Rhinolophus ferrumequinum: one gene and its partners. The protein of the gene in region 1 interacts with the protein of each later gene in a biochemical or structural test. Links are inferred from orthologs where the notes say so. Each region holds a gene or a part of one and is shown in the gene's direction. Other genes may lie near its edges.

Region 1 (7,153 bases):
GACTCTAAATGCATCAGTATCCACTCTGTAAAATTGAGATGATAAATGATTAAGAATAGCTGGAAAAATGTAAACGTATATAAAATTGAGCTACTCATTTGCATGTTTGCTCTCAAATATATTCATTTCCCCTCTTTGTTGTCAGAGGTTAATCCCTGACTGCTGGGTTTCCCAGGCTCCGGTGATCTGGTTTCTACCTGGGTTTAGGCATTGCAAATATTGGAGGAAGATTAACCAGGTCATCCAGATGAAATTGGAGTAGGATTAAATTAGTGATCTTTATTCACCAGGCAAGGAGAGGAGAAAGAGAGAGAGAGAGAGAGAGAGAGAGAGAGAGAGAGAGAGAGAGAGAGAGAGAGAGAGAGAGAGAGAGAGAGAGAGGGCACTCAGAGTTGGGGGAAGGGAAGTGAGGCAAGAAAAAATGTAGAACAATGAAATGCATTATCACACTGGATAATGATTCATGAGTTTCAAAAGGACACAGCCATCAGCCAGTGGGCTTGCTCACGAGAAGAACTGCAGTGAGGAACTTCGCCTTGAAATTGTCCAGAGGAGAGAAAGGAGGGGATTTTATTTGTCCCACTCCTATCTCCCATTTCTCATCGGTCAATGTTCACGTCATGGAAAACTAACTCCCTGTACTTTTTGCTTATGTCATTTGCCTATAATGGCTGTTCAGAAATCTGGATCGCACACCCTGCAGTGTGATGTTTCATCCAAATGTGACAGTATGAGTATGGAGTGGTGTCCCAGCACTGATAGGGTGCTGAGTAAGAGGATGAGAGGGAATCTGAGATGGTGCCAAGATTGGCGTCCAATACATTTCACCCTGTAAGACAAGGATAAAGGAAAATCTTCCCAGTGGACCGTATTTGAAGCAAGTGGTTCTATACTTTGCTTGAGAGAAAAGATGAATTGGTGTACGTTACTTATATACCACCTTCACCGTGTCTAACAGGTTGGCCTGCAGGTCAGGAGCTGAAAAATAAGAAAACAAGATTGAAAGGCTGGTAACAGAGTTATGGGTAGAAGGACACATGGAACTTCCAGGAAAGTATCCAGAGTGTGAAAATGCTTTTGTTCCGTGTGAATACCCACTAGAGAACATACAATGCAGAGAAGGTACCTCTAACCAGATAAATAAGATGATTCACCCCGTCGATGTTGCTGAGCCTCTGCCCCAGTCACCTGTTGCTTGGTCAATGGGTTTATGTACAAGAATCCTTATCCATAGTGGTAAACAGATAAACCTTAGTGAGAGCAAATGCATACTCAGGCAGAGCCTCTATCCCTGCTGCTGTAGGCACTTGGACATAAAAGGCCAACTCTGAGCCAGATTCTTCCCTATTTCTAAGAGAATCAAGACAGTTAGTTACATTGAACGAAGAGCAATTTGTCCTCACAAGTTGGGTAATATTCCAGAGACCAATTCATTTGGCCCCCTAAACCCTCTAAATTGGTTCTGCCAGCACCACCATTTTTAAACTTACACCATCAGGCTATCCCGACAATATCACCTGCAACCAAGGATCTGATTTTACAATCAAAGAATTCTGATAATGGGATTGCCCTGTGGAATGCACTGATCTTACAATGTACACCGTCAGCCAGGAAAAGGTGGACCAATAAAGCTATGGGATGCCTCACTAAAGGCTCAGGGATGGCACCAGTTTGGAAACCCCACCCTGCGAGATTATTAGGTGGTCTCATAAATTCTGGTACATGCTTAAAGTCAGCAACTAATATATGGTGACTTTTTTTTCATATCCTGTATACATACACTCGTCACAGAATCAAGAGGAAAAGTGGAAGTGGCCTCTGTTACCATCAAACTAGTAATTCATTTACGGAAAGTTTTCTTTCCATCCCTCAACATATGGCTCAGCCCTGTTTGGAGGGTCTTGTAAAAACAAGGAGAAACCCTTCCACCAGAGTAAGCAAATCTAGTTCTAAGAAATGGGAATTTGCAACTACTCCTGGCTCTTTGGGGATTCTTAAGCCACTGAAGAAATAGGAAGAGGATGGGGTTTCTATACTGGCTGGAATGAGTTACCTCTATGACCAAGGAGAACTGGGGTTGCTGGTATGTGATAGGGGCAAGAAAGACTATGCCTAAAACCGAAAATACACATTAGAGAGATTCCTAGATATCATTGTCCAACAGCAATGGCCAATGTGTTAAAAACAGGAACATTGAGAACACTGATCTTTCAAGAATGAAGGTATGGGTCACCTCACCAGGAAAGAACACTGAAGTGTTAAAGTACTGGCAGTGAGTGAGGGGACTTGAAATGAGTGGCAACATTATTCATATAGCCAATTGCCAAGATGGGGACTGTTGCGGTTATGCATGTTAAAATATCTGTGTGCATATTATTGAACAATACCAAAGCAACCCTGGATAAATATTGATAGATATTAGGATAAATATTAGGATAAATATTGATATCCTAATTTAATTAATAAATTGAAGCTCAGAGAGGTCGTACATACCTAGTAAACAGCAGGGTTGGTACTGAATCCTGTCCTATAGTGAGACCTCTGCTCTTTTCTACCTCCACCGACAGTAGCTTGCTTAACTCTGTGCCTGCAGGAAACAACAAAGGGGCTGCAGTGGTGTTAAGCCCAGTCCTTTTCTGAGTGCAAGTTCACGTACAGGTCTCTTCTTCCTTGGATTTTTTTTTTCATTCTGTTTTCACATTGCTTGCATTAAGTAAATTATCTTAAAAACAGAACTAGAAATTTCAAAAAAGCATGAAATGTTTTTACATTTCCTAAATCTATAGAAAATACCAAGCAAAGTTCAACTGATGTTTTTACCTTAAGTTATAAAAGAACAAAAAAGAAAAAGAATGTCAGAGTTGAAAGGAATTGAGGATTCTTCTAGCCTTCCTCTTTGCTCCTTCCTCCTCTACAACTATAACAACATCCCTTCCAGCTGTTCCTAAAGCCTCTGCTTGAACTGACAGGGCAGCCTGTTATGTCCCAGCTGTCACTAAAATGAGGATCTTCCCTGGCCCTTTAGTTATCATACAAGTATGCTTACTATGTCACTTCAAACAAGTCACTACACTCCGTTCAGGCTCAGTGTCCTCTTTTGTAATATGAGTTTAACAACCCCTAAATCACTAAAATGTTGTGCAGCTTAAATAATATAACCTGACATAGCAGCACTATTCACAATAGTCGAAAGGTGGAAGTTGTCACTCAAATGTCCATCAACAGATGAATGGATAAACATACAATGGAAATTATTCAACCTTAAAAAGCAAGGAAATCCTGTCACATGCTTCAACATGCACATTACCCTAAGTGAAGTAAGTCACACAAAAGGACAAATACTGTGTGATTTCGCTTATATGAGGTACCTAAAATAGTCAAATTCATAGAGGCAGAAAATAGAATGGTGGTTGCCAGAGGCTGAGTGGGGAATCATTGTTTAACGGGTACAATTTCAGCTTGGCATGATGAAAAAAAGTTCTATGGATGGATAGTAGTGATAATTACACAACAATGTGAATGTATGTAATGCCTCCAAACTATACACCTAAAAATGATTAAGATGGTAAGTTTTATGTCCGGTGTATTTTACAATTTTTAAAATAAAAATAATAGTAACCTGAGAAACTCCCTAGCTCAGTGACAAGAACCCAGTTGGTGTTCAACAACTAACTGTCAATTCCCTTCTTACCACTCACTGGTGTGATATCTGCCTTGGGGTCAAGCACAATAAATCTTTTACACCCTTAAGTTAAAATATTGAATCGCCTGAAAAGGAATTGTTTCTGAAAGCAGGCAGCAGATGGTGGCATGTGAGGGAGAGCTCCAGGCACTCTCCTCTCCATCCAAACCTCCCTAAGAGCTCCCAAACGTAGGCATAGCATGTTGGCATGGGGTGATGACGCTTCCATCTAGTGGATACGATATTTTACTGTATTAGACAATGAGGACATGGGAGGGAGCACGAAGTAAGAACTAAACGCTGCGGAGCTTCCACTCAGTCCCAACCTCCAAGAAGCACTAGACAGAGGTGTCAGCAGCTTCGGATACTGAGACCCTCCACTCCTCCTTCTCTCCTCCCACTTCCTCTTCCCTCTCCTGCCCTCCCCACCCCTTCAGTGTACTCTCCTCCTCTTGCTCCTCCTACTCTCGGGCGTGTGCCTACCTCCCGTTCAGACTTCCCTTTTAGAGGAATCGAAAGTGAAATAAAAAGCCGGCTGCCATCTGCTGAGTCCCTGAAAAGGTGAGTGAACTTGGCTAGACCAAGGTACCCCAGTCCTCCCTGAGAAGCCCCTTCCAACCAGTGCCCACCCCTAGAACCTTCACTCTCAGTTTTACCTTCTCCGCAGCAGGGCTCACTCAGCCCTAACCCAGCAGTTTTTCCCGCGCTGACTCGGCTGCCCTGGGAGGAGGCTGGGCTGTGAACGGGACCAAGTCACCTGGAAGGAGCTCGGGCTGCCCTGTTGCTGGCACTAGAGCTGGGACGAGCGGCCAGGTGAAGCTGGGAGCACCAGGCCAGAAACCTAGGAGGCAGGGTGGGCCAGGAGGGCCCGGTGCAGGGTAGGTCTGCAATCCTTGAGACTCCCATCTCCAAAAGTCTCTTTCTGGAGGAGAGAGGGACAGAGTTGTTTAGGATGTTAGAAGTTTATAGATCTATGCCCTGGAGGAAATGAAGCTGCTAGGGTGGAGTAGCCGAGAGAAGGGCCTGGAGTGCTGAGTGCTAACCACACATTCGTGTCTGTATAAACATATACACATATATACATATACAGATACGTATACATATATGCATATATAGGTGCACCTACAGATATACGTATATACTTACAAGAATAAATATATTCTTCTGTATATATTCATGTTACTATATATAAGGAACTGATGGCCTGAGATGGGAGAAGATGGATGGGAAAAGCCTGGGCACTGAGGGTTTAAGCAGAGATAAATGTGATAAAAGTAGAATTGTGAACAGCTTTATTGCTGAAGTTCCCAACAACTTCACTGTCTTTTGGGGATTCACTTCCCCCTTCTGTGTGACTGGATCAATGGAGCAGACTGGGGGGGAGAAGCTCTTGTCATTCAGCTTAATGTTCTTGTGTTTTAACCCCTACCGGTCACTCTCCCTCATGTTTGCCTTTTAATTTTTTTCGCTTTTCTCACACAACCTTTCTCGTCGTCTTCCTTCCTTTTCTCCTCTCCCCATTATGTCACTGCAAGATCTCCATAGTGCCACTTCATAGAAACATTTCCCCTCATGGCCTCAGCAATGCCCTTGGCAATGATGTGGGAGGAAGTCACATGCCCTGTCTGCCTGGATCCTATGGTGGAGCCTGTGAGCATTGAATGTGGCCACAGCTTCTGCAACGAATGTATCTCTCAGGTTGGGAAAGGTGGAGGCAGTGTCTGTCCTGTGTGCCGGAACAAATTCCTGCTCAGGAACTTCCGGCCAAATCGCCAGCTAGCCAACCTGGTAGACAACCTAAGACAAATCAGCCAGAATGCCAAGGAGGGCACACAGAAGAAGCAATGTAGAGTACATGGAGAGAAACTTCACCTATTCTGCGAGAAAGATGGGACCACCCTTTGCTGGGTGTGTTCCCAGTCCCGGAAACACCGTGACCATCCCATGGTCCCGATTGAGGAGGCTGCTCAGGAATACCAGGTGAGGCCTTGGCACAGAGGCATGAACAGGTAGAAAGGAGAGGGGGCCCTGATGAGTGCTTTGTTCCCCAGAGCTGGGATGGGAGAGAGTCACCCATAGAGTAAAGAGATTAGAGAAAGAATGGGTGTCCCCCACTTTTTATGTCTAAATTAAGGGTCAGCACAGCCTTCTCATTCCCCAGGAGCAGGGGCGACGCTATGGTAAAATGATGCAAGGATCATGATTCCCTGTGGCTTCCTGGTTAGTTAGGAATAAGTAGTGCCCTCACCCCTGCCACCCCAACAATGTGGCTCTGTTTTGTAAGAAACATGAGGCTTTTTCCAAAGTTTTCCTTTCCACAAAATTCCTACCCCAATCAGACTAGTCCTCCCTTCTCTACACACAAGCTTTTCTAAGAACCAGTAAACCTTCCCCCACCTCATGCTACCCCACCCTACTTCTTGATCTGGTCGGACATTAACCTGCTATCTTTCTGTGCAGGAGAAGCTCCAGGTGGCATTAGGGAAACTGAGACAAGAACAAGAGTCGGTTGAGAAGTTGGAAGTGGATATTGCTACAAAGAGAACAGACTGGAAGGCAAGAGTCATATCCCAAAGGGAATCTTAGATCAGAAGCCTAGGCAGGGTCCAGGGTCCTGGCCTCAAGAAAGCCCTGACCATAGCTGTGCCTGTCTGAGGAGTGATAGAGTGTGTGTATCTCACTCTTCAAAAACCAACAGTCCTCTAGGTCTCCTGATAGAGGGGCATAAAGAGTATGAAGCTCAAAGAGAACTCCCAATCAGACACAAAGATCAAGTCTTAGGAGAAGGTACTGAGGGACAAGCCATACCCTAAATCTCCTCTTCCTTGAGCCCAGTCTTAGGGGATGACCACACCACGGTGTCTGGGACAGGTATTCCAGGAGAGATGACCAGTGGCTAGGCCTGTTAGGAAATGACAAGGGCTGTGATGAACAGACGTAAGGGAACCACCAAGGCCTGAGGTAGGAAAACCAGTCTGACCAGGTGATTGCTTAACCATGTCCAGATCACTGGTTCAAACAGAACGGAGAACTAAAGCTTGTCCTGCACTGGTGATTTGGAGGTGGGGTGGGTCAGGGCCAGAGGAGTGGAAGGAACTCATGACCAGTAGAACCCAGAAGAGGAAGATTTGGGACCGGGGAAGTGTACCAGCCTGTGGTGGCAAAAAGGGTCATCCTGTGTTATCCGGTGACTCTTCAATCACTAACACAAAAGGGCAAGCAAAGAATATCACAAAGACGTTCTTTCCCCAGGACTTAAGAATGGTGTTATCTTTGTGAGCTTGTTGGGATGGGGACAGGTGTTACTGTCTTAGTAATTCTCCAAGATAGGAAGACAAAAGGACATACGTGGGTGCTGACTGGGTTTTGAAAGAGGTTGAAAGTCTCTGGTAACATGGGCCAATGCAGCAGTGGTTGTAGGGCAGCTACAATGCACCCTCCCCCACCAATCCCGTTCCCCTCTTAGTTCCA
Region 2 (6,913 bases), on another chromosome or scaffold:
AACATCTAAATATTTGTTTATGGTTAAGACACTGATGGTAATAGAATTAGGAGAAAAAGAAGACACTGGCCACACCTGGGCCTAGGGTGCCACGCCCCCCTCCCTGCCCAGTCAGACAGTGGCCATAGACAGTGGCATAACCAGAATGGAATGTATCCAACTGCACGAGTCTCCAAGGTAGGAAAGGTGATCCCACTTCCTCTCTATGAGATTCTTTCAGGTTTTTGCCTCTGTCACCTTCCCCAATAACCTAACCCTTATATAACAGAGGTTATAATGTTACCGGTCAGACCTTTAGTTCTTCTAAAATATACTAGAGATTTTCAACTTTTCCACAGTCCCCTGGGCAGGTTAAGGAAGCACAGGCAAGAAGGAAACAAAAATACTTCCCTCCTCTAATCAAAAGGTGCCCACCTCTAATCAAAAGGTGCCCAATATTTGTGTCACCTCTAACCAAAAGGTGCCCACTCACTGCCACATGTGCTCTGTAATTGCTGGCTAAGTGTGGACCAGGGGTGACTTTGGAGGGCCAATGCCAGTTAGGTATAGAGCAAGCCACAGTACCAGCCCACACGAGAACTTTATGATTTGGCACCAAATAAAGCTTCAAGTTCACATGCCCAGACATTACAAACCCTCAAGTAGATCACCACAGTCCAACATCAAGCAGTTCATGACCAATCAGCCAAGCCTCTCCCCTCTAGCTCTCTTCCTGCTTTCCTCCTGGTTCTTGTGGCCCAAGTTCCCATGGCAACAGGTGGGTTGTTTAGTTCTGGGGTCTGGTTGTGGGGCCAAATGAGTGCCCTACTAGGCCTACACCTCTACACCTCTCCCAAGCAAATGGCCTAAAGGGGAATATAGCCCTGGGGCCAGGGTGTCTCCTGGCCTGAATCACACTTCCTTTTTTTTTTTTTAAAGATTTTATTGGGGAAGGGGAACAGGACTTTATCAGTGTGTACTTTCAGGACTTTTTTTACAAGTCAAGTTGTTGTCCTTTCAATCTTAGTTGTGGAGGGCGCAGCTCAGCTCCAGGTCCAGTTGCTGTTGCTAGTTGCAGGGGGCACAGCCCACCATCCATTGCGGGAGTCGAACCGGCAACCTTGTGGTTGAGAGGACGCGCTCCAACCAACTGAGCCAAACTGACAGCCTTCGGAGTTATAGGAGCATGGAGCTCCAACCGCCTGAGCCACCGGGCCAGCCCCAACTCACTTCCTTCTTAATCCACAGGTCACTCCCACAATAGGTGGAACAAATGGCAGATGCTCATTGTTCTCAGTTTTTAACGTTTTAATCAAACTAACAAAAGTTTTAAACATTGGAAATAATGATCTTCTGACTATGATGTTTCACTTTGTTCCTCACATTTTAACTACTGGCACTTTGCAGTCTTAAATTTTAGGAAATACCCATAATTAGTGTACTATTTTTATTGCTATTTAATAGCACTGAAGAAATCCAGGTTTAAAAAGATTTTCCAAAGTTTTCATTTTTATAATTAGGTTTTGTCCTTCTTTCTAGTCGTGCTGAGGACTCGTCCTACTTCCTTAAGACTGTGACCCATGCCATAAATGGTACAGGGGAAACTGCTAAAAAAAGAAGAGGGAAGCAGACACTCTCTAAAGTAGGTTCTGAAGTAATGTCACTAACCCAACTTTCTTTTTCCATAAATAACAGGACTAAAGGTAGTGTTTCTTGTTTGTTAACATTTTAACAATTTCAAATAACTTTCAAAAAAGGGCACTCGGGTTGTCAGGCCTGGCTCCCCAGCTGTTGAATTATCACCAGTGGTAACTTTTTTTTTTTTTTTTTAATTTATTTTTAATTTATTGGGGTGACAATTGTTAGTAGAATTACATAGATTTCAGTTGTGCAATTCTGTATCACATCATCCATAAATCACACTGTGTGTTCACCACCCAGAGTCACCAGTGGTAACTCTTATCTGCAGGGGATTAATTGCTATGTGATTATTGAAGGCAATTTTAATTCCAAATTTACTTTCCCCTGCTATCTACCCAATTACCAAGAGGCCTGTGTTACCAGATGGTGTGTGATGGATGTCCCAGGGAGTATAAATTAATTTCAATTAGCCGTAACCCAACATAGAAATAGTAAATCTGTTCAGATGACCAACCATTTTCACCAGGCCAGCTCTCCCTCTTCCATCACATGGCTCATCTGAGTCTCCTCTCCTCTCTCATAACCCCCTCTTCAGGGCAAGGTCCCTAGTAGGTCTTTGGGCTGCACCACTGTGTGTGTGTAAAGCACCCTAAGCCATTTGGTCTCTGCTCCAAAACCTCTTACAGTAACTGTGGACCATGCAAGGCAGGACATGTAGATCTAGAAAGCTTTAGATCTCAGTCTCTTTCAGTAGTCTGTGCCCAGCTCAACTGGCCTAATCCTCACTATTTGATCCTACCCTGCTTTTTCCAGAAATTCTCTCTGACCTCTCTAGTCTCCCCTCCTGTAACACACACCATCATTTCTATGCTTTCTTCAAGACCTCACTCAAATGCTACTCAAGTCAAAGGCTCCCTTTCAGAGCTCAGGGTCTACAGTCTGGTTCATACCTGTTAATGGCATTTACCACACTCTGCTTGGTGCAGGGGTATTTGTAGATTTCTTCTCTATTAGATTGTACACAGGCAGGTATTGAGTCTTATTTTTTTCTCTGAGGATAGAAACTGAGAGACAAGTGAATGGAGAGTCATGTAGACCAACTGTCTGGCTTTCTCCTTGTTCTGGGCTTCCGTCCCCTCCAGGGAGAGGGCTGTTTTTGTGCACAGGGTTGAGTGGAAAAGATACAGTATTCAGGATATTGTACTTGTTGCAGCAACAAATTAATAAGCCTGGGCACCTAAGGTGGAGAACACACCCAGACCTCTCCCCTTCCCACCTTGCTATCACCCCTCTGTGGCTGTTTGTCCCTCTGGCAAGGCAAGTAGCTCAGCGTGGAGCGCTTGTGGAATTCTGCCGTGGGCCAGGTGATTCTGGCATCCAGACTATTTGAAACGATTGTTAATGATCAGACCACACCTTCCAGTATATGCGATGGTGCACCGGGCACATCTGATATCCTCCGGGACAGTAATCCCCATCTTATTTCTGGGCAGCTAAGGACGCGCTCAAGCCTTCTGCTGAAAGTGGAATGGCAGGAGTGAACACAAGAAAATCCAGTTCCAAGGCTTCCAGTCTCTAGCAGTGCATTTAAGACCAGGATAACCCCGCAAGCCTCCAGGGAGCTTCCGGATAGAATCTGAAACTGGCCCTAACACAGAAGACTTGGAGAGCGGAAGAGGGAGGCCACTCCAGATTGGTAGGTGGCAGGTTTAATAAGCAGGGTAACTTACATAGGGCTTGTCTTGGGCGCGCAAAAGTAGAGCTACTTGACCACCAGAATCTTAAAGTTTGTACAGAGGCCTTAACTACTCAGTCACGAAGACCTTCCAGAAGTTCTCGGCACCACATTACTATCTCAAAACTGCGTCCTTGGGCAGTTTCTAGCACCTGGAGCCAAGCAGAACGCTCACTCCAAGGACAGGGGAAGGGGGAGAGGAGCCTCCGATTGCCCGAGTCGAGCTCGCGGGTCAACCGGTCATCACGTCCTTTCAATGACTTCCTCCATCAGAGGAGAGGGGTCGTGGGTCCTGCATTCTGACTCCTTGAGACCGCGGGGCTGTACAGAGAAAGGAGTGCCCGACACCCCTCGGAGCGGGAGGAAGTGGCCGCTCCTTCCCCGGCGCCCGCCTGCTCTTCCGGCCCCCTCCCTGCTTTGCTTCACGGCGCACCCGTGGGAGAGGGCGGTGGGTGGGGGCGGGAGAGAACGCACAGGCGGGCCGCGCTCAAGGCCGCTGCGCCAGGTGGGGCTTTGGGCGCGCGCACGTACGTGCGTGCGTGAGTGGGCGTGGCCCACACACGCTGTGCGCGAGGCGGATGTCCGGACCGGCTGAGCCTGGGCTGCGGACGAGATGGCGGAAGGTGGAGGCTGCGGTGAACGACCGGATGCTGAGACCCAGAAATCGGAGCTAGGGGCTTTGATGAGGACCACGCTCCAACGGGGGGCGCAGTGGTGAGCGCCCGGCCCACCTTTCCGCCGCGCAGGGCCAGGGGCCGGGGCTCTGGCGCTCAGGCCGGCCCCTTTTTCTCGGCTTGGGTAGGGGCCGGGCGGGGGCGATGTAGTGACTCTGAGAAGAGTGGCCTGACCTCGGCCCCTTAGGAAAGGGACCCTGAGGTCACTTCTGGGAAAGCGTGGGCGGAGTTGAGAGTCGTCTCAGCCCTTTCGGAACCCCAGTGGGCGGACCCGGCGGGGGAAAGAGCTGCAGGATAGGGACTGGAGTGCTCACCGGGACCTTCAGGATGGGGAGAGCCCTTTGCCTTCGGGCATTCGATGTGTGACCTTGGGCAAAGGCGTCCACACCTCATAGACCCCAGTTCCTTACTCTTAAAACCGTGGTAGCAGTATTTGACACTACATACTCCCCTTCAGTGGGTTGAGGCGTATCAGAAGTAGACACTTTGTAACTTGTAAACAGCAGAACAGATGTCAAGGTCAGAAGCTGAACAAATGTTTGAGAGCCCCAGGTTATTTTGGTAGCAAATGTCAAAAATAATTGTGGCAGCAGCATTTCATAGCCTAGGTAAAAAAAAAGATGAAAAGACTGGGCTTTAGAAGATCAAGTCTGAGACAAGAAGTTTCATAATAAATTGTTTAGTGAAAGGGACAGTACTTCCACTGGTAAAGAGATTCCTGGGTGGTATTATTGTGTGGGTGTAGAAAACTGGACCTTGGCTTTATTACAAAGAATGATTGAGCTTCCCTCTTTAAGAAACCATGGTGGTGTTGATAATGCCACTTACAGTGCCAGGAATGAGCAGGGAAGAGAGACATTGGGATTAGGAGGAACTCATATAAGACTTTACACTGTTCTTGAGCGAGCCAAGCTGTGACAGGCAGGGCACGCAGGGGCAGAGGACACTTGAGAGACTAAAATCACACTCTTAGCGTGTTTAGAGGGTATTGTTCAAGGGGTTTGGAGGGAAAAGAGCATTTAGAGATTTGGATTTATGGATCCTTGTGACCCCTGAGAAGCTGCCTATCTCTGAGGTTTGTTGGTTATAAAATTTGAAAGACTCACCAATATAATTGTGCTTTGTTTCCCCAATGGAGGTTTTCCCCTCCTTCTGTCTTAATTGTAAAACAGCATAGTAATACTTAAAAAATACAACCAGATCAACTTGCTTTTTGACAATATAATTGTACTTACACATTACATGTGTATGTATGTACATGTGTGTATACATGTATGTCTGTATGTACACATATATACATATGTACACACATTTTTTTGACATTTTGTTTGGTCCTCAAAGGAATGCTGAAGTGTGTGATGTTATTATCCCATTTTCAGAAAGAAAATTAGTTTAATGTTATTCATGTCAAGCAAAGCAGTGTAACCAAATTGTCTACCTGGAGAAGGACCTCTGTAAAGATCATTATGACATTAGTGACTTGGTCCTTAGCAAACAAGATTTTCACAGTAGAAAGACTTGCTTTAAATAAATATTTTGAAGCCAGTCATTTCCTTCCTTTCATTTATTCATTTTTCAATAATCGTTTCACTTACTGGATACTTTCAGAAGTATCCATTGGCTCTTTGTGCCATATGGGGCTGGCCCTGCTTCTGTCTTGAGAATGTTTTTTAGTGGGGATTGCTTGTTCCCTAAGTGGAAAGACCATAAAGAAATTAGGGGAGCAGCTGCAGAAACTTACTATCTCAGCTTTTCTGGTACAGTAAATTTTTGTCTATCTCTAGGTATCTTATTGACAGCCGGTGGTTCAAACAGTGGAAGAAGTATGTGGGCTTCGACAGCTGGGATATGTACAATGTGGGTGAACACAACCTGTTTCCTGGCCCAATAGATAACTCCGGACTCTTTTCAGGTGCAGTATTCTGTTCCTTTTCTATCCGAAATGTCAACCATGGTAGTGGCCTCAGGTCATAATTATGTGTAACATGGACATTGTGAACTTGACTTTCCTCCTGTGAGGGGACGGAAACAAGTGTCCTTGACTTATGTCTGTAGCAGAAGTCTTTGTAGAGTCTTGGAGAAGTGAACCTGCCTTTTTCCTAAACTAACTTCTAACAAGAGCATGCTTGTAACATTTTAAATTTCTTTCTCTCTCTCTCTCCTTTTGCAAATTCTGCCAGAGATTTTAGATTAGTATATGGGATGGAAAGAAATAGGATATTTTGAAATTGATCTGGAATCTGAAATTTGGGAACCAGAATTTTCTTGGTTACCTTTGCAGTGGGACAAATTGTAGATCTGTCGATATTCTTCAGACATTTCTGTGATGGCTGTGTTTGTCATAGAAATAGTACGAGGAAAGATAGAGGGTCAGTAGAGTTATCACAATCAGCTCCCAGTGGAAGAAGTGATTGAAAAAGTGATGCATGACACACTTGAGCTTAGCTTGCACCTGTAGATGCACAGAGATGACAGTCAGCCTTTCCTAGTCTGTTCTGCCTGGCTTTAGACTCCCTTGCAAGCAGGACAGAGGTGATCTGTCTTCTGTGACCAAAATCAGGGCAGCAGGACGGCAGATAATGCATGAAGCTTGATCCAAGTACCTAACACTAACCTGCGTGCTTTTAAAAATGAGTAGTACTTCAGCTCAGACTTCGTTTTTGGGGAGTCTAAATGACGCAATCAACAGTCATATGCTATGTTTCCTGAAGTAGGTCAGATGGTGGCATTATGCCATGAAGTTGCCTCAAGGGATCATTGCAAAACGTTTGCTCTTTGTCCTCTCTTTGGAAAAGAGAAATCTTAAGGCTTTTAATAGTAATAGTGATGAGAATCCTAGAGCTTGAGGGGCCCTCGAAAGTCATTTTGTATGACCTTCAGCTAA
Region 3 (6,989 bases), on another chromosome or scaffold:
TAAAGTCTGCCAACCAAGCCTGCCGTGACCAGGTCTTGCCTGCCTGTCTTCCACCTCCTTCCATCAGTTTGTTGGGCAATAACAAATTGTCATCCTCTGTAAACACCAATTACATGGTTAACGCTCCCTCTGCCTGGAAAGCCTCTTCTCCCCTTTCTCCTCTGCTCAGGCCTTGGCTCTTCCAGGAAGCCATCTTCAGGTCCTAGGCAAGACCACGTGACCCTCCCTTATGATCCCCTCATGGCCAGTCAGTAGCTTTTGTATCAAAATCCTGATTGTAAGCAATGTGAACATGGGGACTGTATGTTACTCATCTTTATATCCCCAGTGCCTGCCATTTAATATATGCTTTTTGGTCAAAATTGCCACTTTTCCTTTTTTTTTATATTTTGTCAAATTATGAATATTCACCAATTAGATATATTTGGGGGCATCAGATATTCTGGGTGAAATGTAAAATCCACCTTGCCTGTTAAGTTTCATAGTTTAAAATGAATCGATTTGATTAGAGTTACTTTTATTTTCACACCTCATTCATATGGGTCATTAAGAAATGGAATTGGAAGGACAGGATTGTGTACTAGTTAAATAATTCAATCTGTAGAGTCATGGAGTTCGAGTTCCCAAGGTAGAATTCTGATTCTGCTGTTCATAAGGTGGGTGTCTGGCAAATTCCCCGGCCTCTCGAAGCCTGTTTCCTTCCCTAGAATGTGGGAATCGGTTTATGTACCTCATAGTTCTGTTTTAAAGATTAAATAATACAGGAAATACAAGTGCCTCTTATGGTGGCACATGCAAATATTCAATCCAAGACAGCTGTTATCATTATTGCCCTTACTAAGGGCAGGTCTGGGAGGATGCCCCATGTGGGTGAGGACACTGGATGGGGTGGGGAGAGGCAGCATCCCGACCTTGCAAGTTTATCAATGGCAGGCTCAGTTCAGAGCAGAGTGTCTGCCCAGACTCTTCTGTGCTCACAGTGATGGGAAATTTGGGGATCTTGGTATGGGTATTTCTCAGTCACTGCCATATACCCCACTTCTCATCTCTAGCCAACATCACATCTGCCCACAGAAGAAAGAACAGAGTCATCTGGAAGATAAAGTAGGTACCGCGTCTCATCTACGTGGTGCTGTGCACTTCATGAAGTTCCTTTACACATGGTCTCATCAAGACTCCTCCCCAATCCATATGCTGGCATTTTTATCTCCATTTTACAGATGACAAAACTAAGGCCCAGAGAAGTTTAAATGACCAACTCCAGGTCACAGAACTGAGAAGTAGCAGAGTTATGATTCAAATCTAGGCCTTTTGATTGCAAGTCTAGTGCCTTTTTAACACATGGGTCCTTCAGGTTACTATGACTGTTTGGTTTCCCATATATCTTCCAGTTTTCTGCCAGAAAATGCAGCTGCTTTTAATCCTCTATCACAGGCTGTGCCTTTCCTTGAAAGGGAAAACTTCAGGCACATACACAGCTTGGGTCTATCCTGGTTTTTTTTTTTTTTTTTCTTCCAGGGAGGCAGAGGTGGGGGTAGTTTCTGAGATAAGAGAGAATCACCTCCTCTAACCTGGTGGCCATTTCTAATTGCTGTGTAAATTTAAAAATGAATATCATTATCCAATCTAACAAAATAATAATTATTCCTTTGTATCATCTAATATCCATTTTATATTTAAATTTCTTCCAGTTATCTCAGAAATATCTTTTTACAGTTGGTTTGTTTGAACCAGGATCCAAACAAGGTTAACATTTGTTTAATATGTCCCTTAAATATCTTTTATTGCAATTTATGCTATTAAAAAGAATCTTTAAAGGTATGGGAAGTTTTAACTTTACTGTTGCTGAACTGTTTACAAAGTGATTGTACCAATTTCTTTCCTACAGAGTTTATGAAAGCTCCACTTCCTCTCCCACTTTTGGGATTGTCAGACATTTTACCTTTTGCCTATCTGATAGTAAGCCCCACTCTAAAGAAATGAGATGTGAGCCTAGTCTTCAAACATTGTGTAATCAAGTGTTTTAGATATAAAAATTTCATGCCCTTTGGCTATAATTACATGTCCCAACCCCATCTGAAGGTCACTATTTTATCCCGAGTACATTGGGACTTTCTATTATATATTACTGAAAGAATGAAGAAGATAGTGAAGTAATTATGTACTATTTAATATTTCCTAGGAAAGATAAGCCTGGTACTGACTTTCCCCTCTATTACGATCCTTTTTAACACACAGAAAATTCAAGGGACCAGATGTTGATTTCACTGTGAGGACTGTCAAGATTCCTGTAACCCCTTATTAGTCTTTGTAATGGCAGGTTGTTGGTTCTGATGATGTCATAATGCTTTGCGGGGTCACCTGATGTCACTTACACCTTAGGGAGAATTAGCTTTTAAACAGTGAACCTTAGATGGTAAAATCTGATCTTCTGGAGCCATTTTCTGACATCATAGGAATAAAAAAATCTCCAGAAGAAAATAAATCTGGAAAAGTTTTCCTCTTTCGTTGGAATATATGGGTTTTACTCACAGTTGAAATGTTGCCAACACACTGGGCTAACACCTGATGTGCTTCGGGGTGATTCTTGGTTGCCAAGAGCCTCCAAACATTCCTTAAGAACACAGTCGTTTCGCACAACAAAGGGAAAGCCAGCCCATTTCTGGCAATGAGGGTGGAAGTCTGAGAGAAAAAAGTAAACCAATATAACTTCCTCTGTACTGATGAAGAATAGTGTGTTTATTATTATAACATAGAATAATTGGTGTATTTTAAGATCTTTTTCCTTTTTGAACACACTTTACGTTAGGGAATTTCAAAGAACATAATCTAGCTTAAGAGTGGAAAGGATGATAGCCTACACTGCTCTTATATTTAAATATTAACTTCTAGAAATTTCTAAAAGATCTCCGAATTAATGAAAGATTTGAAGCTTTCATTCTGGTAAAGTAAAAGTTTTCTATGTGTCAGCTACCTTAATTTTTTAGAGCTAGAACACGAGATGCAAGCCTTCGGCTACCATTTTCCTCTTGTAAACCAACATCCTGAATTCTGTAATAGCTTTTTTAAAACGTGGCTTCTGATAAATGTTGGCAGAACTGGTGCATTCCCAGAATAAATTCCGTATGTTGAGCTTTCCCTACTCAGATACATCCCTAGGTCGAATGACCACAAAACTGCCCACCATGAGACAGATTGAAGTTTGGATGTGATAGAAGATATGTGTATATTATAACGTGACGGTGGTACTAAAAAAAGAAATTCATGTCTAGGGGCAAATGTCTCATCAAATGCCAATGCTGTGACAACCGTAACTATTACTGCTACACACGTGAATTTTAAATGGAGGGGATGGAGTGAAGGGGCGGAAATCGCACACAGACGAAAAAACTTCAAAATTTTCCCTTCCCTTTTGGGCAAGTTACAGCGCTACAAATCTACCCTTGTCTTTAAAGCAAAATGCTGTTCTGCTCTCAATTCTCATCCCATTGTACAAGGAAATCTGTGTCTCTCTTCCCCGAATAGGAATATGAGAAGCCCTTCAGATTCGAAAAGTCAAAAAAGCCCCGCGGAAAGTTTTGTCTTGCCCCAAGGGTCTGAAAGTGGGCGCCGTAGTGTGGAAAAAACATACATCCGAAAGGGAAAATCTGTAAACCATACACCTGTGGTTGGAAAAACAAAACAGAACAAAACAAAACAAAACAAAAAAACTCACAGTCCGGACATCATCAAGATCTCGAGACACAGACAGACAAATAAAAACAACTGTGGCCAGGTCAGAACGGGACCCGCGTTTCCCAAGCGATCCGCATGGCGGGTGGGCTCACAGCCGGCGCCAGGGAGCGGGATGAAACGGGTGACACGGACAGCGCGGGTCACGGCGCCCCGCCCGCCCCTCCCCGCGGGGGCCCAGCGCGCCAGCCAATCCCGCTTACGCCACGCCCATCCCTCGGAGGCCCCGCCTCCCGCGCCCGGGATGCTGGGCCCCCACGGCGTGACGTAAGCACGGCAGCTCCGCCCCCTGCGTCTCTGGCCTCGCCAGCCCTCGGGGGGGATGGTTCCATCATGGCGTCAATGCAGGTGAGAGGAGTTTGCAGCATCTGGGCGGGCGAGGGAGCCGCGGAGAGGATGGGAGCGTTCCGTCGGGGGCGGCATCTGGGACTCGAGGGCACCCCGGCGGGCTCGGGAGCGGCCCTGGGGGCGAGTCCTTCCCCAGCCTTAGGGCGTTGGGGAGGGGTGAGAAGCGGCGAGAAGAAGGACGTGGGGGGGGGGGGCGGTATCGGTTGGCCGAAGCGGACACCAGCCGGCCGGGAAGTTGGGGGATAAAGAAGGCGAAGGGAAGGGAAGGGCAAAGTTTGACGTTGGCTCGGCGGCAGTAGTCTGGGAGCCGTGTCCCGCTCGGACAGACGGCCGCTGCAGGCCTGCCCGCCGGACCCAGGGATGCCTTTTCCTCCGCCGTCCCCGGCCTGGCGGAAACAGCTGCTCTCGCCGTTGTCGCGCAGGGAAGGGCGGCCCTGAGAGGGGCTGAGTGTGGGGGAGCTGAAAACGCGTTCCGGGAAAAGACGGCTGGATGCAAGGGCTCTCGGCGGCCTCTCCTGAGGCCTCCCACGCCGGCCTCTCTCACTGCGCGGCCCCCGGCTCTCTTCCCTTTGACTCTTAATCCTTTGCCACTTGGGTACCTTCCTCTGCCAGCCTCCTCACTCTCAACGAACAGCAGCCCACTTTCTCACTCTCCCCGAAGCTGCCCTTCGCCCGTCGACATCATCGCCTCCTAATATGCAATGTCCCGGAGAGCCGAGTCACCGACCCCCTTAGAGCTCCCGGGATAGAGAGCTCGCCCTCAATTTTTTTTTTCCCCCTAGGGTGCCCCACCCATGCAGTCGCGGTCCGACTACAGCCCTTTGCCCTTCTTCCCCTGATCTCTAGTGGAACCTTAGTTTGGTAGAAGGTGTTTGTTAACTCGTGTCATAGCTACCTGGCTTGGCAATGCATGGTTTTCTGGCTTTCCAACTTAATGTAACCCTTTTTTTCAAATTCGAGGAGTTGGTTTTTTTTTTTTCTGGCAAAGATGGCAACCACAAGTGCAGTGTTTTAGAGATTGACTCCGCATTATCTATGGCCTGCATTTGATTTACAGATGAAGACTACCTGTATCAAAAGACATAGGAAGAGAAGGCAGAACTCCCGTCTGGAGTGTCAGCCGAGCGCTTTTTAGAGTTTTTCTCGAAAGGATTTTGTGCTTTTGTTTTTAGAAGAATAAGCAAGCCTCCCTATACACCCCTCCGTTTTTGTTTTTTTTTCCCTCCTTTCTAAGCATAACAGTGGTTTTCTTTTATCTCTTTTATTGCATCATCTTCCTCTTATGCACGTATTTGCTTCACATTTACTTACGTGCTTTTGGGTTATCCCCTTTCAACCTGTTTGCCACACGGTATTCTTTTGACTTTTGCTTCTCCCTCTGGACTTTCCTGGAGAATTGGAAAAAAATGTATATAACATTCCTCGTTGAAAAGATGTCAGCGAAATGGTGCAGGGAAAAAACAAGAACAATTTCAGGAAACATACTTTACACTAATCTCCCCAGAGACGTTAGAGAAGTTTCGTCATTTGAGACCAAAAAAGGAACTGTGAAATACTCGTTGAACAGTAGATGGGCTATACGACCAATTTAAGATTATTTGTGTTAAGAGTAAAACTGTTTTAAGACTAAAAATTAAGCTTACTATTCATAATATTTGTGATTATATTTCACAAGAAAATAATAGGGATAACTTATTAGCTAGTTAGATTTAGGCTTCCAGTCTGGAAAAGGCAGATTTCAGTTTTTAAGAGAAAAATGAGTCAGTATGGAACTTAATGTTGATAATCTTGAATTTTATGTGACGACTTAAACAATGGGGAAAAATACTTGCCAGTGTAATACTGCATTTTTCTGTGCCCCAAGTACTACCTTTGTCTTATCGCCTTTTATTTCTTTGTGTCTTCTGATGAGAGGAATGGAAAACTGGTGTTCCCTGGTGTTTTAATTCAAGTAAAACTGAGTCTTTTATTTGTATTTTAAAAACATCTCGTACAGATTTTCTGGTAGTATCTTGAAAACTATTTTAATATAGATAAATCCAGCTTTTTGAAACACAGCACTCCTTCCAATGTGGTTCTTCTGTCTTTGGTGAACACATTTTTTTTCCTGACCATCTTAATAGCAAAGTTGAACTTTTTTCCCGAAATAACTGTTACACATAAAATTGCAGCCAAATTATGACATTTGTTCATTCGCTCATCAGTTATTTTTTGAGGGCCCACTCTGTCAGATACTCATCGAATTGCTGGCGATGGAGAAGTGAACAAAAGCAGAAAAGATTTCTGCCCTTGTGGATGTTAACAGTCTAGTTGGGGAAGTCAGAGAAGAACAAAATATTTAAGTTAATTGTGTCCTGTGTTAGAAGGTGATAGTGCTGTGGGAAAAAAGTGTGGAAGGAGGTTAGGAAATGGATATTTTGGGGTTTCAGTTAGAGTGCTTGGGAAAAGATGTGCCATACATGAATGCGTCTCTGACCCTGCCTTTATCTAAAAAGTTTTCAGATTTCTTACACCAGGATATTACTGCTGCTGAAGAGGTTACTTAAGCTCTACCAGGAACTGTATTTTAAAAACATGCATGTTATACAAATGTAACATAGGATTTGACTACTTGAGTTGATAAAAATGAAATAAATTAGTCTTTAAGATCAATAACATCAATTAAGGATAGACTTTGAATTTCTCGTTCAAAAAATATTTATACTCGGAGAGTATATATTTTACAGCTGAGGTTATACCTGCTTTAGTGTACCCTATCCGTGCCTCCCAACCTTTTTTCCGGTTGTGGTACACGGGGAAAATAATTTTTGACTGGCATGCTGAGGTGGGTGGGGTTGTGGAGGTTGGAAGCATCTGGCTAGACAGTGAGAGTGGTTGGAGACGGTCAGTGTCCCAGCACACCTGTAATG

The links.
Region 2: of the proteins of TRIM21 (region 1) and USP4, one has a biochemical effect on the other in vitro, tested with the Homo sapiens proteins (2 studies listed by BioGRID). The link is inferred for Rhinolophus ferrumequinum from reciprocal best matches to the Homo sapiens genes TRIM21 and USP4.
Region 3: the proteins of TRIM21 (region 1) and UBE2W are reported together in a solved structure, tested with the Homo sapiens proteins (2 studies listed by BioGRID, with this or other methods). The link is inferred for Rhinolophus ferrumequinum from reciprocal best matches to the Homo sapiens genes TRIM21 and UBE2W.

Annotation. Positions count from the first base shown.
Region 1 is NC_046294.1:47,069,106-47,076,258, forward strand, and holds the start of TRIM21 (E3 ubiquitin-protein ligase TRIM21), read left to right. Parts: upstream 1-4,120; 5' UTR 4,121-4,243; intron 4,244-4,349; 5' UTR 4,350-4,495; exon of another isoform or gene 4,496-4,560; intron 4,561-5,217; 5' UTR 5,218-5,254; coding exon 5,255-5,662; intron 5,663-6,142; coding exon 6,143-6,238; intron 6,239-7,153. UniProt on the Homo sapiens protein: E3 ubiquitin-protein ligase whose activity is dependent on E2 enzymes, UBE2D1, UBE2D2, UBE2E1 and UBE2E2.
Region 2 is NC_046300.1:7,022,038-7,028,950, forward strand, and holds the start of USP4 (ubiquitin carboxyl-terminal hydrolase 4), read left to right. Parts: upstream 1-3,910; 5' UTR 3,911-3,968; coding exon 3,969-4,069; intron 4,070-5,813; coding exon 5,814-5,941; intron 5,942-6,913.
Region 3 is NC_046297.1:8,840,897-8,847,885, forward strand, and holds the start of UBE2W (ubiquitin-conjugating enzyme E2 W), read left to right. Parts: upstream 1-3,986; 5' UTR 3,987-4,065; coding exon 4,066-4,080; intron 4,081-6,989. UniProt on the Homo sapiens protein: Accepts ubiquitin from the E1 complex and catalyzes its covalent attachment to other proteins.